Linked DNA regions of Callithrix jacchus. The protein of the gene in region 3 interacts with the protein of the main gene of each other region in a pairwise test. Links are inferred from orthologs where the notes say so. Each region holds a gene or a part of one and is shown on either strand. Other genes may lie near its edges. The genes, in order: SKIL, KIFC3 and NEFL.

What was found.
Region 1: the proteins of NEFL (region 3) and SKIL interact in binary tests that used the Homo sapiens proteins (3 or more experiments, as listed by UniProt). The link is inferred for Callithrix jacchus from reciprocal best matches to the Homo sapiens genes NEFL and SKIL.
Region 2: the proteins of NEFL (region 3) and KIFC3 interact in binary tests that used the Homo sapiens proteins (3 or more experiments, as listed by UniProt). The two-hybrid records come from large-scale screens. The link is inferred for Callithrix jacchus from reciprocal best matches to the Homo sapiens genes NEFL and KIFC3.

The regions. Positions count from the first base shown.
Region 1 is NC_133518.1:16,692,209-16,696,610, reverse strand, and holds the start of SKIL (ski-like protein), read left to right. Parts: upstream 1-1,560; 5' UTR 1,561-1,653; intron 1,654-3,586; 5' UTR 3,587-4,253; coding exon 4,254-4,402. UniProt on the Homo sapiens protein: May have regulatory role in cell division or differentiation in response to extracellular signals.
Region 2 is NC_133521.1:15,646,565-15,650,209, reverse strand, and holds part of KIFC3 (kinesin-like protein KIFC3), read left to right. Parts: intron 1-1,039; coding exon 1,040-1,170; intron 1,171-1,628; coding exon 1,629-1,752; intron 1,753-1,993; coding exon 1,994-2,123; intron 2,124-2,207; coding exon 2,208-2,437; intron 2,438-2,773; coding exon 2,774-2,908; intron 2,909-3,363; coding exon 3,364-3,472; coding exon of another isoform or gene 3,473-3,588; exon of another isoform or gene 3,589-3,645. UniProt on the Homo sapiens protein: Minus-end microtubule-dependent motor protein. Involved in apically targeted transport. Required for zonula adherens maintenance.
Region 3 is NC_133514.1:16,534,003-16,537,276, forward strand, and holds the end of NEFL (neurofilament light polypeptide), read left to right. Parts: coding exon 1-114; intron 115-661; coding exon 662-801; 3' UTR 802-2,647; downstream 2,648-3,274. UniProt on the Homo sapiens protein: Neurofilaments usually contain three intermediate filament proteins: NEFL, NEFM, and NEFH which are involved in the maintenance of neuronal caliber.

The DNA.
Region 1 (4,402 bases), on a different chromosome or scaffold from region 3:
GAGCTCGGTGGAGGGGGCCTAAGGAAGGGAACTTGGGTGGGGGTGCGGGGAGCGGTAGGGCTTGAGAGGCTTGTGAGCCTTTGGGAGGCCTGTTGTAAAAAAAGGAAAAAAAAAAAAATCTACGAGCACAAGAGTATTTCCAGCCAGCGACTCCAAACGTGGGCCCCCATAGGAACGACCTGAAGCAGTAAAACCCAGAAGAAATTGGACGAAAATGGGGGAAAAAAGGGGACAAAGCCCGAGTCTCCTCAATTTTGTGCACTGCTACTCGGTGGACTATTTCGGTTCCAGATCTTGTGGTGGGGTGGAGAAAAGGGGATTTCTTGGTGTTTCGAAATGTGACGGAGCAGCTCTGCAGAGTTCAATATGCTAACCGGCAACCCTGGGAACCAGGAAGACCACCCTACAAGCCGCAGAGGGTCGCTGCCGGAAAGCTCTTAAGTCCTATCTTTCCCACCTCGTCTTGCCCTTCTTTAAAAAAAAAAAAAAAAAAACCCTCAGTAAACACTGTAGAAACCTGTAATTTATAGCTCCCCTCTGGAACCGAGAGAGCAGCCTGGTGGGCTGGGGGCAGGAGCCTGGGGAGCAGAGACAGAAATGTTTGCTCACGGTTGTGCCGGAACTTTGGCCACCCCTCCCGCCCGACCCGATGGCGGATGGAGGTCAGCCAGGGGAAGGCGTCTGGGTGGAGGCCGCCCTGGCGAGGCTGGGGCCGCCGGGACGGGGCGGAGCTCTGGCAGCTGGCTGGGCGGCCCTCGGGCCTGAGGCCCCGCGGGGGCGAGGGGCAGCCCAGGAGGGAGGTCCCGCGGGGGCGGGGAGTGGAGCCGGCCCCGGGGGCCCTGCAGGGCGGTCGCCGCCCGGCTGCCTCCGGGGCGGGGCGGCCCAGCTGCGGCCCCGCGGGGGGAGGGTCGCCCGTGCCTGACCTCGGGCGGCGGCGCTCTGCCGGGCGGGCACTGCCTCCGCCCTGCGGGCTGCTGGGGTCGCGCACAGTGCACGGCGCGGCTGCCCTGCCCCCTCTTCCCCGCCGCGCGGCGGCCGAGCGTCCAGGGCGCCCCAGGGTCTGGCCCTTCACCACAGAGCGGCGGGTGGGGCGGGGCCGGGGCGGAGGCCCCAGACAGCCGGCTGGGCGACTAGAGGAAGGAAGGAGGGAGGGCGGCGGTGAGGGTGGAGTGGGGAGGGAACATCCTGTCTGCGCTGGGTGCACCGCAGACAGCGCCGCGCGCCAGCCGCCCAGACGGCGCGCGGGGCCAGGAGCGCCGGGCGCGCGCGCCTGGGGGAGGGACGCGCGCGCGGGACGACCTGGCCAGGGGTCGGGGGCGCTCTGAGGAGCCACAATAGGCCAGACGGCGCGCGCGTTTCCGAGAGATCTGGGAGCCGCGAAGTGGCGGCCCCGGCGACGCCGGCGAGCCCGCGCGCGCGGCACCGCCGCTGGCTCTGTTCCCTTCCCCTCCCCCTCCCCGCCGCCCTCGCTCTCCCCCGGGCGGCCGGAGACGGCGGCGGCGTCTGCGGGAAGCCGTGTGTCTCCGCAGTGACGTGGGCGGGCCGAGGGCTGGTGACGTCAGAGGGCTGTGTGTAGCGATGTGTGTGGGGTTCGGAGCGGCGCCGGCACAGCCGAAGGGAGAGGGCGAGCGGCGACGGCGGCGGCGGGCACAGGTGCGGCTCCGGCTCGTGGGTGCGCGGGGGGGGGACGCGGCGGAGGCGGCTGGAGGCCAGAGGCGCTCAGCCTCCGGGGAGCCCGACGGCGGCGACAGGGGCGGTGGGGAGTTCACAAAGCTCGTCGAGCTTCCCCAGTCGCCGAGGCCCGAGTAGGGGCTTTGGATGCGCGGGTCCCGGGTGGGGTCGGAGCCAGAGGGAGTCGCAAGGCGCGTGTCCCACGAGGGATTACGCCTCGTTGGCTCCAGGCGGTGGGCGCAGGCAGGGCTGGGCGCTGCACTTGACGGGAGCCGCGGGGACCCGGGAGACCCGGGAGACCCGGACGCCCGTCACCACCCCCCTCCCACCGTCCAGCAGCGCTCCACGGGGATGCCTTGGGCTCGACCCTGCCCGTCAGCCCCCGGCGGCGCGGGGATGTTCGCTCGGCGACTGAACTGCCCCGGTGCCCTCTTCGTTCTGGCCCGGAGCTGGCAGGGCGGGGGAGGTGCAGCATTAGGGGCGCTGGGGTGACACCCGAGAAGTTCCCGGGGAGAGGGTGCGAGTGGGGGGGATTTCCACAGTCCTTCCCGCGGCTCCCGCGGGGGGGCAGTGTTGGGAGGGCACTTGAGGTTATCCCAGGCTCGCTGATGGGGGTGGGGGGACTCCTCCCTTTACTTTCCTCCACCCCCTTGCACACCCACTCCCAGGCTTCCCGTGTCCCTTGTTCTTCCTCCTCTTCGGGTTAGAGATAGGTGAGTGGCTTTGAGTGGGCGGAGGACTTCAGGGTTTTGGGGGCTCCCCCATTCTAGGTCATGCCTCTTGCCCTCTTCCTTGGCCTGTGTTAAGTGAGATGTGTTCCTGTGGTGGACAAAAGTCCGTACGATGGCTGGTAGCATTGGTCCTTACTCCTTTGGGTCTGTTTTATGGTAAATTGCTGACAGTTAGGGAAGCAAAAATTTCTATTTATTGGATTTCTTTTGGGGTTTCTCTCACGAAGGAAGTGGAAGAAGAGTCTTTTCTTTTCCCCCTCTTCCTCCATTTGCATTCTTTGTGAGGTTTGTCTGCCTTGTGCTTTTTGTCCCGGATTAGTCTTGTTCAAGGATGGAGATTCCCAGGCATGGAGTCTATAAGCTTTTGGCTTCCATTAAGTAAAATCGCTAACCTTTTAAAAGAGACAGTTAATTTTTGCCTACAGTCATTCCAGAAAAATGGTATACACGGACCAGCTGAATTAATCCACTTAAAATTGTAACTTAGTTACATATGGTAGATATATGTTAACTCCTATTTGATTTTTTTTGGATGAAACTGTTTTTTTTTAAATAGGAGATGAAGTAATGTATTTTTTCCCCCTTAAAATGGCATACATAACTGAAAAAGCCTCTGGTACTGATGGAGATGATCTGTTTAAGATTCTTCATATTCTGAACTCAAATGGCCTTTTGTGTTACATTATTGCTCCCTTTACCCAACTCCAAATTGCTTTCCTATTTAAGTGAATGTTCTAATAAACTGGTGTTAGATTTAAAGAAATCACTCAAGCGTCACCTTTGGTAAAGTGAACTCAGTTTAATATTAAGAAACTGGTTTCGGCCTGGTGCGGTGGCTCACGCCTGTAATCCCAGCACTTTGGGAGGCTGAGGCAGGTGGATCGCTTGAGGCCAGGAGTTCGAGACCAGCCTGACCAATATGATGAAACCCTGTCTCTACTAAAAATACAAAAAAATTAGCTGCGCGTTGTGGCGTGCGTCGGCAGTCCTAGCTACTCGGGAGGCTGAGACAGGAGAATTGCTTGAACCCGGGAGGCGGAGGTTGCAGTGAGCGGAGGTTGTGCCATTGTACTCCAGCCTGGGCAACAGAGCGAGACTCTTAAGAAGGAAAGAAAGGAAACTGGTTTTCTTTGGCCTCTGGAGCAAATTCAAATGTAACTATTCCCCACCCCCTTCTCTTGCAGATTAATTAAAAGAAGAATGAACTGTAATCTTTGAAGATAATTGGGCAATTTTTTGTTAAGTATCATTGTTGATTGTAGAAGTTCAAGAAGGCAGAGGCTGTTTTTCCTGGTGTGAGGATTTACACGTCTTCAGTTTTTCAGCACGGACACCAGCAGACCATCGTTTTTAGAGGAAATACTCCCTCTGCCCTCCTTTTTGGTTTCCTTAGTGGTAAAGATTAAATTGGGTTGCATCATTTTGACTTGTGTTTGAGTCTAGATTTTATGGCCCAAGGAATGACAGAAACTTTTCATGTGTTTGTTTATAACAAAGGAAACCAAACCATTGCGTTGATCCTGGACATCTTGAATTGAGAAATTGGTAACTTTATTTTGATACGTATTTCTGAAGAATTCAAGAAAACAAAGCATTCTCAGAGGTGTGCTTCTATTCTTTATTATTGGAGGCAAAACGAACAATTTCATAGGCTTTGTAGTGGAATTATGCCAGATTATAAGGAGAACCAAAACTAAGTATTGAGTAATTTAAGGGGATCTCTCTTTAGAAAGTTTTTGTGAAAGTAAGTTATCATAAGTATTTGTATATTCATTACTTTCCCCTTTTCAAATAAGTAATTAAATAGAAATGCAAATCTCAGACTTAATTGTTTAACAGAGTAGTGTAGCAATGGAAAACCTCCAGACAAATTTCTCCTTGGTTCAGGGTTCAACTAAAAAACTGAATGGGATGGGAGATGATGGCAGCCCCCCAGAGAAAAAAATGATGACAGACATTCATGCAAATGGAAAAATGATAAACAAGGTGCCAACAGTAAA
Region 2 (3,645 bases), on a different chromosome or scaffold from region 3:
GGGGGTGTGTGCAGCGCCCCCTGGGCTCCCAGGTCTGTTTTGGAGTTGCTTAGTGTTGAGGTGACCCCTGGGAACATCAGAGCTTCTGTCCTCAAGCATATCTGCTGAGGCCTGAAGTGTACCAGGCACTGTGCCAGGCATGGCTGTGACCCAAACAGTCCCTGGCCCCACAGGACCAACCTGGCTATGGGGAGACAGCAGGGTCCACACAAATCAGTGAGTGTCCCGTCAGGCCATGGAGAAAAATAAAACCAGGGATGTGGAACTGACAAGGGGAAGGGACGGGGTGTTTGGGGGTGCTGGACGAAGGAACAGCCTCCCTGAGGGGGCATCTTGGGAGCAGCCTCCCTGAGGGAGATGACTGAGCTGGCCGAGGGGCAAACAGGAGCACCTGGGGCAGAGGGAGCTGCAGGGCCAAGGCCAAGAGGCCAGAGCACACCAGCCGCACCTGAGGCTTGGCCAGGAGGCCCCTGCGGCAGGAATAGAGAGAGGGTGGGAGGTGCTGTCGGAGGAGGGGCGAGGGTCCAACTCCCAGGGCCTTGAGGGCCCAGGTGGGGACTCCAGGTTTCCTTCTAGAAAGGCCAGCCCACCCCTCCTGCCCCAGGACCCTGTCCTGCTCCACCTGTGCCTCCTTTCCATCACCCACAGAACCCAGGTCACAGCCTCCCTGAGACTCAGCCCCTTTCTGGGCAGAGGCGGGATCATTCATTTCTAGTGCCCCTTCTAGGTGGCCCTGCAGGGCCAGGCATGCACCTGTCCCTCAGCTGTCTGTGTGGTCTGGCCAGGTCCCTCACCCCAGCGCTGTACCCTAAGTCTCAGGGCAGTCCTGGCAGGGTGATGCCATTTTAATGTCGGGGAAATAGAGGCACAATAGCCTGCAGCTGGCAGAGGGCATTTTGGGGGGCACTGGCTTGTAGGTAGGAGGTTTGGGCAAGGAGACTTGCCTGTGAGGGATAGCCAAAGGGCTTGGGGGACAGATGCCACACAAGCATCTTTGGGGACAGGCCTGGCTCACTGGGGCCTTTCCTTCTGCCCCCAGGGGACCCCAGAGAACCCAGGTATCAACCAGCGGGCCCTGCAGCTGCTCTTCTCCGAGGTGCAGGAGAAGGCATCCGACTGGGAGTACACCATCACTGTCAGCGCCGCCGAGATCTACAACGAGGTCCTCAGGTAGGAGCCCCAGTGTGAGGGGAGTAGGCCTCAGGGGCAGCTTTGGGGTCCTCAGGTGGGGTGGTGCTGGAGTAACGGGAGATAGGAAGTGGGGTCTTCCTGAAGGGAGTGCAGGGACCAGATGAGGCTGCCAAGGGACCTAGCTGCAAGTTGTGACTCTCCTCCCTGTGGGCTGCAGCAGGTGGCCATGGGTGGGAGTGGGCAGCTGCAGGCCCTGCCCGCAGGGGCTCATTGCATTTCGGAGGCAGGAGTAGCGCCATCCACAGGCCTTCTGGGCAACAGTGAGGTCTCCACATGTTCAGCTGAGTTATGGGGGAGGAGCTGGAGGATATGCGCTTAGCTGATGGCTGAAGAAGGCTTTGTAGGTTGGGGGAACACTCCTGACTGGGGCTCTGGGTGCAGTACAAGCAGCAGCCAGAAATGGGAGGAGGGGGTGACTGTCTCACCTGCCCCTCCAGGGACCTGCTGGGGAAAGAGCCTCAGGAAAAACTGGAGATCCGGCTGTGCCCAGACGGCAGTGGGCAGCTGTATGTGCCAGGGCTGACTGAGTTCCAGGTGCAGAGCGTGGACGACATCAACAAGGTGTGGAGGAGCGGGCCCCTGGCCACAGCCACGCTGCTCTAGAGGGAAGACCTGGATTTGAATGTAGGCTCTGCTGTGTCCTAAGCATGCACCCTCGGGCAAGTGCCCATGCCCCTCTGAGCCTGTTTCCTCGTCTAAACTGCGGGGGTGGGGGTGTCACTCCTCTGGGGTGCTCGGGGCCAGGTGACTGAGGACCACATTCTCAGCGCCGTGCCTCACCCTCCCACTCCCCATCCCCCAGGTGTTTGAGTTTGGCCACACCAACCGCACAACGGAGTTCACCAACCTGAATGAGCACAGCTCCCGCTCGCACGCGCTGCTCATCGTGACGGTGCGAGGCGTGGACTGCAGCACAGGCCTCCGTACCACGGGTGAGGGGGCGGGCAGCCTGGCCTGAGGAGCCCCATGCCCCCAGGGACAGGGCAGGTCTGATCTGCTTGGTGCCTTCCCTGCAGGGAAGTTGAACCTAGTGGACTTGGCTGGGTCCGAGCGTGTGGGCAAGTCCGGAGCCGAAGGCAGCCGTCTGCGGGAGGCGCAGCACATCAACAAGTCACTGTCAGCTCTGGGGGACGTCATTGCTGCCCTGCGCTCCCGCCAGGGCCATGTGCCCTTCCGCAACTCCAAGCTCACTTACCTGCTGCAGGATTCGCTTAGTGGTGACAGCAAGACCCTCATGGTGGTACAGGTGAGGGCCTTGGGTTAGAAGGGAGCAGTCCCTGGCGTGTAGGTACTTAGCTAGCAGCAAGACCCAGGCACCCCAGGCTGTGAAGGACCCTTGTCTCAGCAGCTCCAGAGTCAGCAACAGCCCCCCTGCCCCAGACCTGGCCACACACACCTGGTGTAACTCCCAGTCCCTCCTCTCCACCTTTGACCACGCCACCTCTGCCACCTTGCCTGCCCTCCTACCCTGTCCCTCGGTCCTCTCCAGGAGGCCTTCTGACGTCTCCAGCTGTGAGCTCCCTTGTGACCCTGCTGCCCCTCCAGCTGGCCCAGGTGGGCAGTGAGCTCTTGTGTCCTCTAGGTGTCCCCAGTGGAGAAGAACACCAGTGAGACACTCTATTCCCTCAAGTTTGCTGAGCGGGTGCGCTCTGTGGAGCTGGGGCCCGGGCTACGCAGGGCAGAGCTTGGGTCCTGGTCAAGCCAGGAGCATCTAGAGGTACGGGGACTGCCAGAGACCTGGCTCAGGTAGCCCTGGGTCAGAGACTTTGGATCATGGCAGGAGCAGGGAGCTGGGCGGAAACATCCCAGAGCAGCAGGGTGGGGCGGGGTGAAGCTGCCGGAGGTGGGTGGAGCTACAGCTGGAACCCACAGCCAGAAGCCTCTTCAGTGCAGGTATTTATTCTTGGCCTCCAGGGCTCCTGTGGGGTGACCAGCTGGCCATGGGCGTGGCACTAGGTGCTAAGTGGTAACTAGTTGACTTCTTTACATGTACTATCTCATTTAATTCTTGACATAACATGAGGCTGGGGCACGAGCATCCTGCCCATTTTGCAGATGAGGAAGCTGAGTGTTCGGAGGTTAGGAGGCAGGGCAGGGGAGGAGAGAGCAGCACAGCGGGGTGCGGGCCAGGGCAGCTGTGGCCCCCACCTACCCTCCCTTCCCTGTCCACAGTGGGAGCCGGCTAGTCAGATACCACAGCCCTCGGCACGGGCCCACTCAGCCCCCAGCTCCGGGACCAGTAGCCGCCCTGGCTCCATCCGGAGGAAGCTGCAGCCCTCGGGTGAGTCTGGAGGGAGTAGCAGGGTGGGAGGGGGAGTCTCCCCCAGGATTATAGTCACCAGGCTGCCTTTACCTGATGGGCTTTTTTTTTCCTTTCCTTTTAAAAAAGTTCTATGACTTTTCCAGAATCTGTTTTGCAACCTCCTGTGCCCCCTGGGAGGAGTCAGGGCGGAC
Region 3 (3,274 bases):
AGGCTGCTAAGGCTGAGGAAGCCAAGGATGAGCCTCCCTCTGAAGGAGAAGCCGAGGAGGAGGAGAAGGACAAGGAGGAGGCTGAGGAAGAGGAGGCAGCCGAAGAGGAAGAAGGTATGATAAGAAACAAACCCCTGCAACTTCAAGTGCAAACTGGGTGTGGATATTTGTTAGGTGGTGGATAAGACAAATGAAGCCTTGCTTATTTATTCATATATGATTTTAGAAGCATAAATAATTTTTCTGCTTGTTCAACAAACCTTTTCTAAGCACCTACTCTGAATGAGGTCAAAATGGACCTCATTGGTCAATTGGTCAAAAATTTCATTTTTAAATACATTCATTTAACATAACAGGTCGGTGTCCTAAGGAATAAAAATAGATACCAGACACCTAAAAAAAATAGTGAGGTTAAATCTTTGGGAGGAGCAGAGCTTTCCATGCCTAGAAGTGGTCTCATTCCATTTAAATATGTGTTCAGTGGCAAATTATTCATGGCAAGCGTTGTTTGTTACATGTGCTTTTGGAGAGAATGGAGCTGGGAGGTTGTGGTGAGCACTCTGACGGTTTCATCTGCATTCACAGATAAAACCTTAACAGCCATGTTTTGACTGGCCTTACCTTGGATTTGGATTTTGTACACTTTCTTTTTATGTTCAAGCTGCCAAGGAGGAGTCTGAAGAAGCAAAGGAAGAAGAAGGAGGTGAAGTTGAAGAAGGAGAGGAAACCAAAGAAGCTGAAGAGGAGGAGAAGAAAGTTGAAGGTGCTGGGGAGGAGCAAGCAACTAAGAAGAAAGATTGAACCCCCATTTCCTTAATTATGTCAGGAACAATTCTCCCGAAATCAGGTCAACCCCATCACCAACCGACCAACCAGTTGAGTTCCAGATCCTGTGTGAATTAAAAAGTCAATATATGTATAATTCTGAGATGACTTAGGTTGGACATTCAATGTTGTGCTCTGAATTTCCTCTTTATGCAGAGTATCTGTTTGCTTGCAGAGTGGCTTTCTGGCTTGCTGCCAGCCTGTGCATGGTCCACGCTTATGAGTTCAGGAACTATGGCAATGTGAATGATTCAGATGTTTACAATAAAAAACACCACATGAGTAAATGAATTCACTAATGTTAATGTTAAACTTCATGGAAAAATAGTCCTTTGAACCTTTGGTGGTTAGCAGTTCAAGACCTTGAGTTATGTGCAATAAATAGTAAATAAAGTTATACCTAATGATGTATTTTTTGCTCTGGTTGTTAATCAAAATACCTTAAAGTTGGCACTGGTGTAAAGTATATACCAGTGGACTATTGACCTCCATAAGAACTCCAAGTTTTAACAATTACCAAGACTTTTCTTTTTGTTCCCTCATTGGAAATTCCGAGGGATACAGTTAGGTCATAACTATTCATGAAATCTCTCCCCTCAAAAATGTTACTGATAATAAACATGAGTAAATGAGAATGTCTATAAAAACAATAGACTTTGCCCCATAGCATATACTGTGTTAGGTTTTGGGATGGCTTTCTAGGGAGCGATTCTGAAAATATTTGACAGATATACTCGTTATGGTAAATAGGTCATTTCAGAGTCCAGAGTGCTAGCCATTATACCATGGAACCACAATAAATAGGTCATTTCAAACTGTTATGTCATAATGCAATATGGTTAGAATATGAATCCCATATATTCATCCCTGTAACTGTATTTTAAAATATAGTCTAAATATCATGGGCAGAGGTTAAAACCTGAGAACGTGGTACCATCAGAAGGAATGACTTATCTATATATAATTTCAGGAGAAGGGACTATCAAAGGTTATTTGTCACTCCACTGCAAACATATTGCCTGCAATTCTGAGCTCATGATTTAGTGTGTTGTTAAGCGTAATTCTGTTGCCTCAAGTAAATAGCATTTAATCTCACACAATTTCAAACCTTAAAAAACTACAGATACAGGTAATGAAATTATGAATCACTTAAGGGGGGAGGTAATATGCTTGTATGTTACATTGACATTGCTCTGCATGTGTCTTGGAAGATATTTGGATTTCACTGATAGCTTGACTGGTTGGACATATTATCAGATACACACCTCATATGTCCTCTCTGTTTATCGAAAAGTTATGAACGCTCTTGCACTTGCATTTGATGTGGAATAAATATATAGATATTATTGACTATCTGCTGTTCTGCCTTTATTCTGAAACAATTGCTTTGTCAGCTAATTTCATTCAATATTTGTTTTTTAGACAATCTTTATAAGTTATGGATTTAAACTGAAACCAAAGTGGTCTCCATTTAAAGTTACTTAATCCCTTTGTACCAACTATATCTAGTTAAATATATGTCACTATGGAAATAGGTAAGCTGTTTCTTTGCCATGATGGTATGGACTGGAATTATGAAAACTCTCAATGTATTGGCTCCTGTGAAGGGGAGACAACTCCTCAGAAACCAAGCTTTTCACATTTATGCTTAGTAGACATGGGATGATGTACATGGCAAGTCTCAAACAGATGCAAGCTACATGCAAAAAGTAACTTTAGCCAAATGAAAATCGCTGGATGCTCTGAGAACTCCTTGGTGGAAGTAAGAACACTGTACCATTCTCTACCCTGTGTGCCATAATAAAATACCAGAAAACCTAAATTGAATTTGAAGTCTTTTTTAACATTTCCCCAAATTTTGTGCTGTGGTCATTGCCCCTTTTCCCTCTGCTCCCCCTAAATTTGTGGTTCTCTTTCAGTATCTCCTCTCCTAGTGAATGATCCCCTCTCCCTAATCATCTGATTCTATTAAACAGACACCTTGAATGACAGCCTACCTCCCATTGCCTCTCCTCTGCCCCTCTAGAATAACCTATCACCAAGTTATAGTGATAACGCCTCCACATTTTAAATCCTTCCAATCCTTTCAATTTATACCGCCACCACTCTAACCTTCTCCCAGGGCCTCCTCTTGGTCTCCCTCATCCCCCTGAATGAAACCCTCTAATAGCTTCCTGCTTTTAGTATGAAAACCGAAATCTCAAATGTGATCTTCAAGGCCTGCATAGTGCTGACCCCTATCTACTTCTCTAACCTTATTTCATTGTACAGCCTTTCCCTCCACTTCAGGTACTCCAGCCACCCTGGTATTCTGTTCTCCCATCTGTCACAGGATTTTTGGTGATTCCTCTGTCTGTAGTATTCATCTTTTCTCTGCTTCCCTCAACCTTACCCAGCCAGTTCCTATTGACCGTTCAGATTTAGGCTTAAACATCATTCCCTAAAGGAA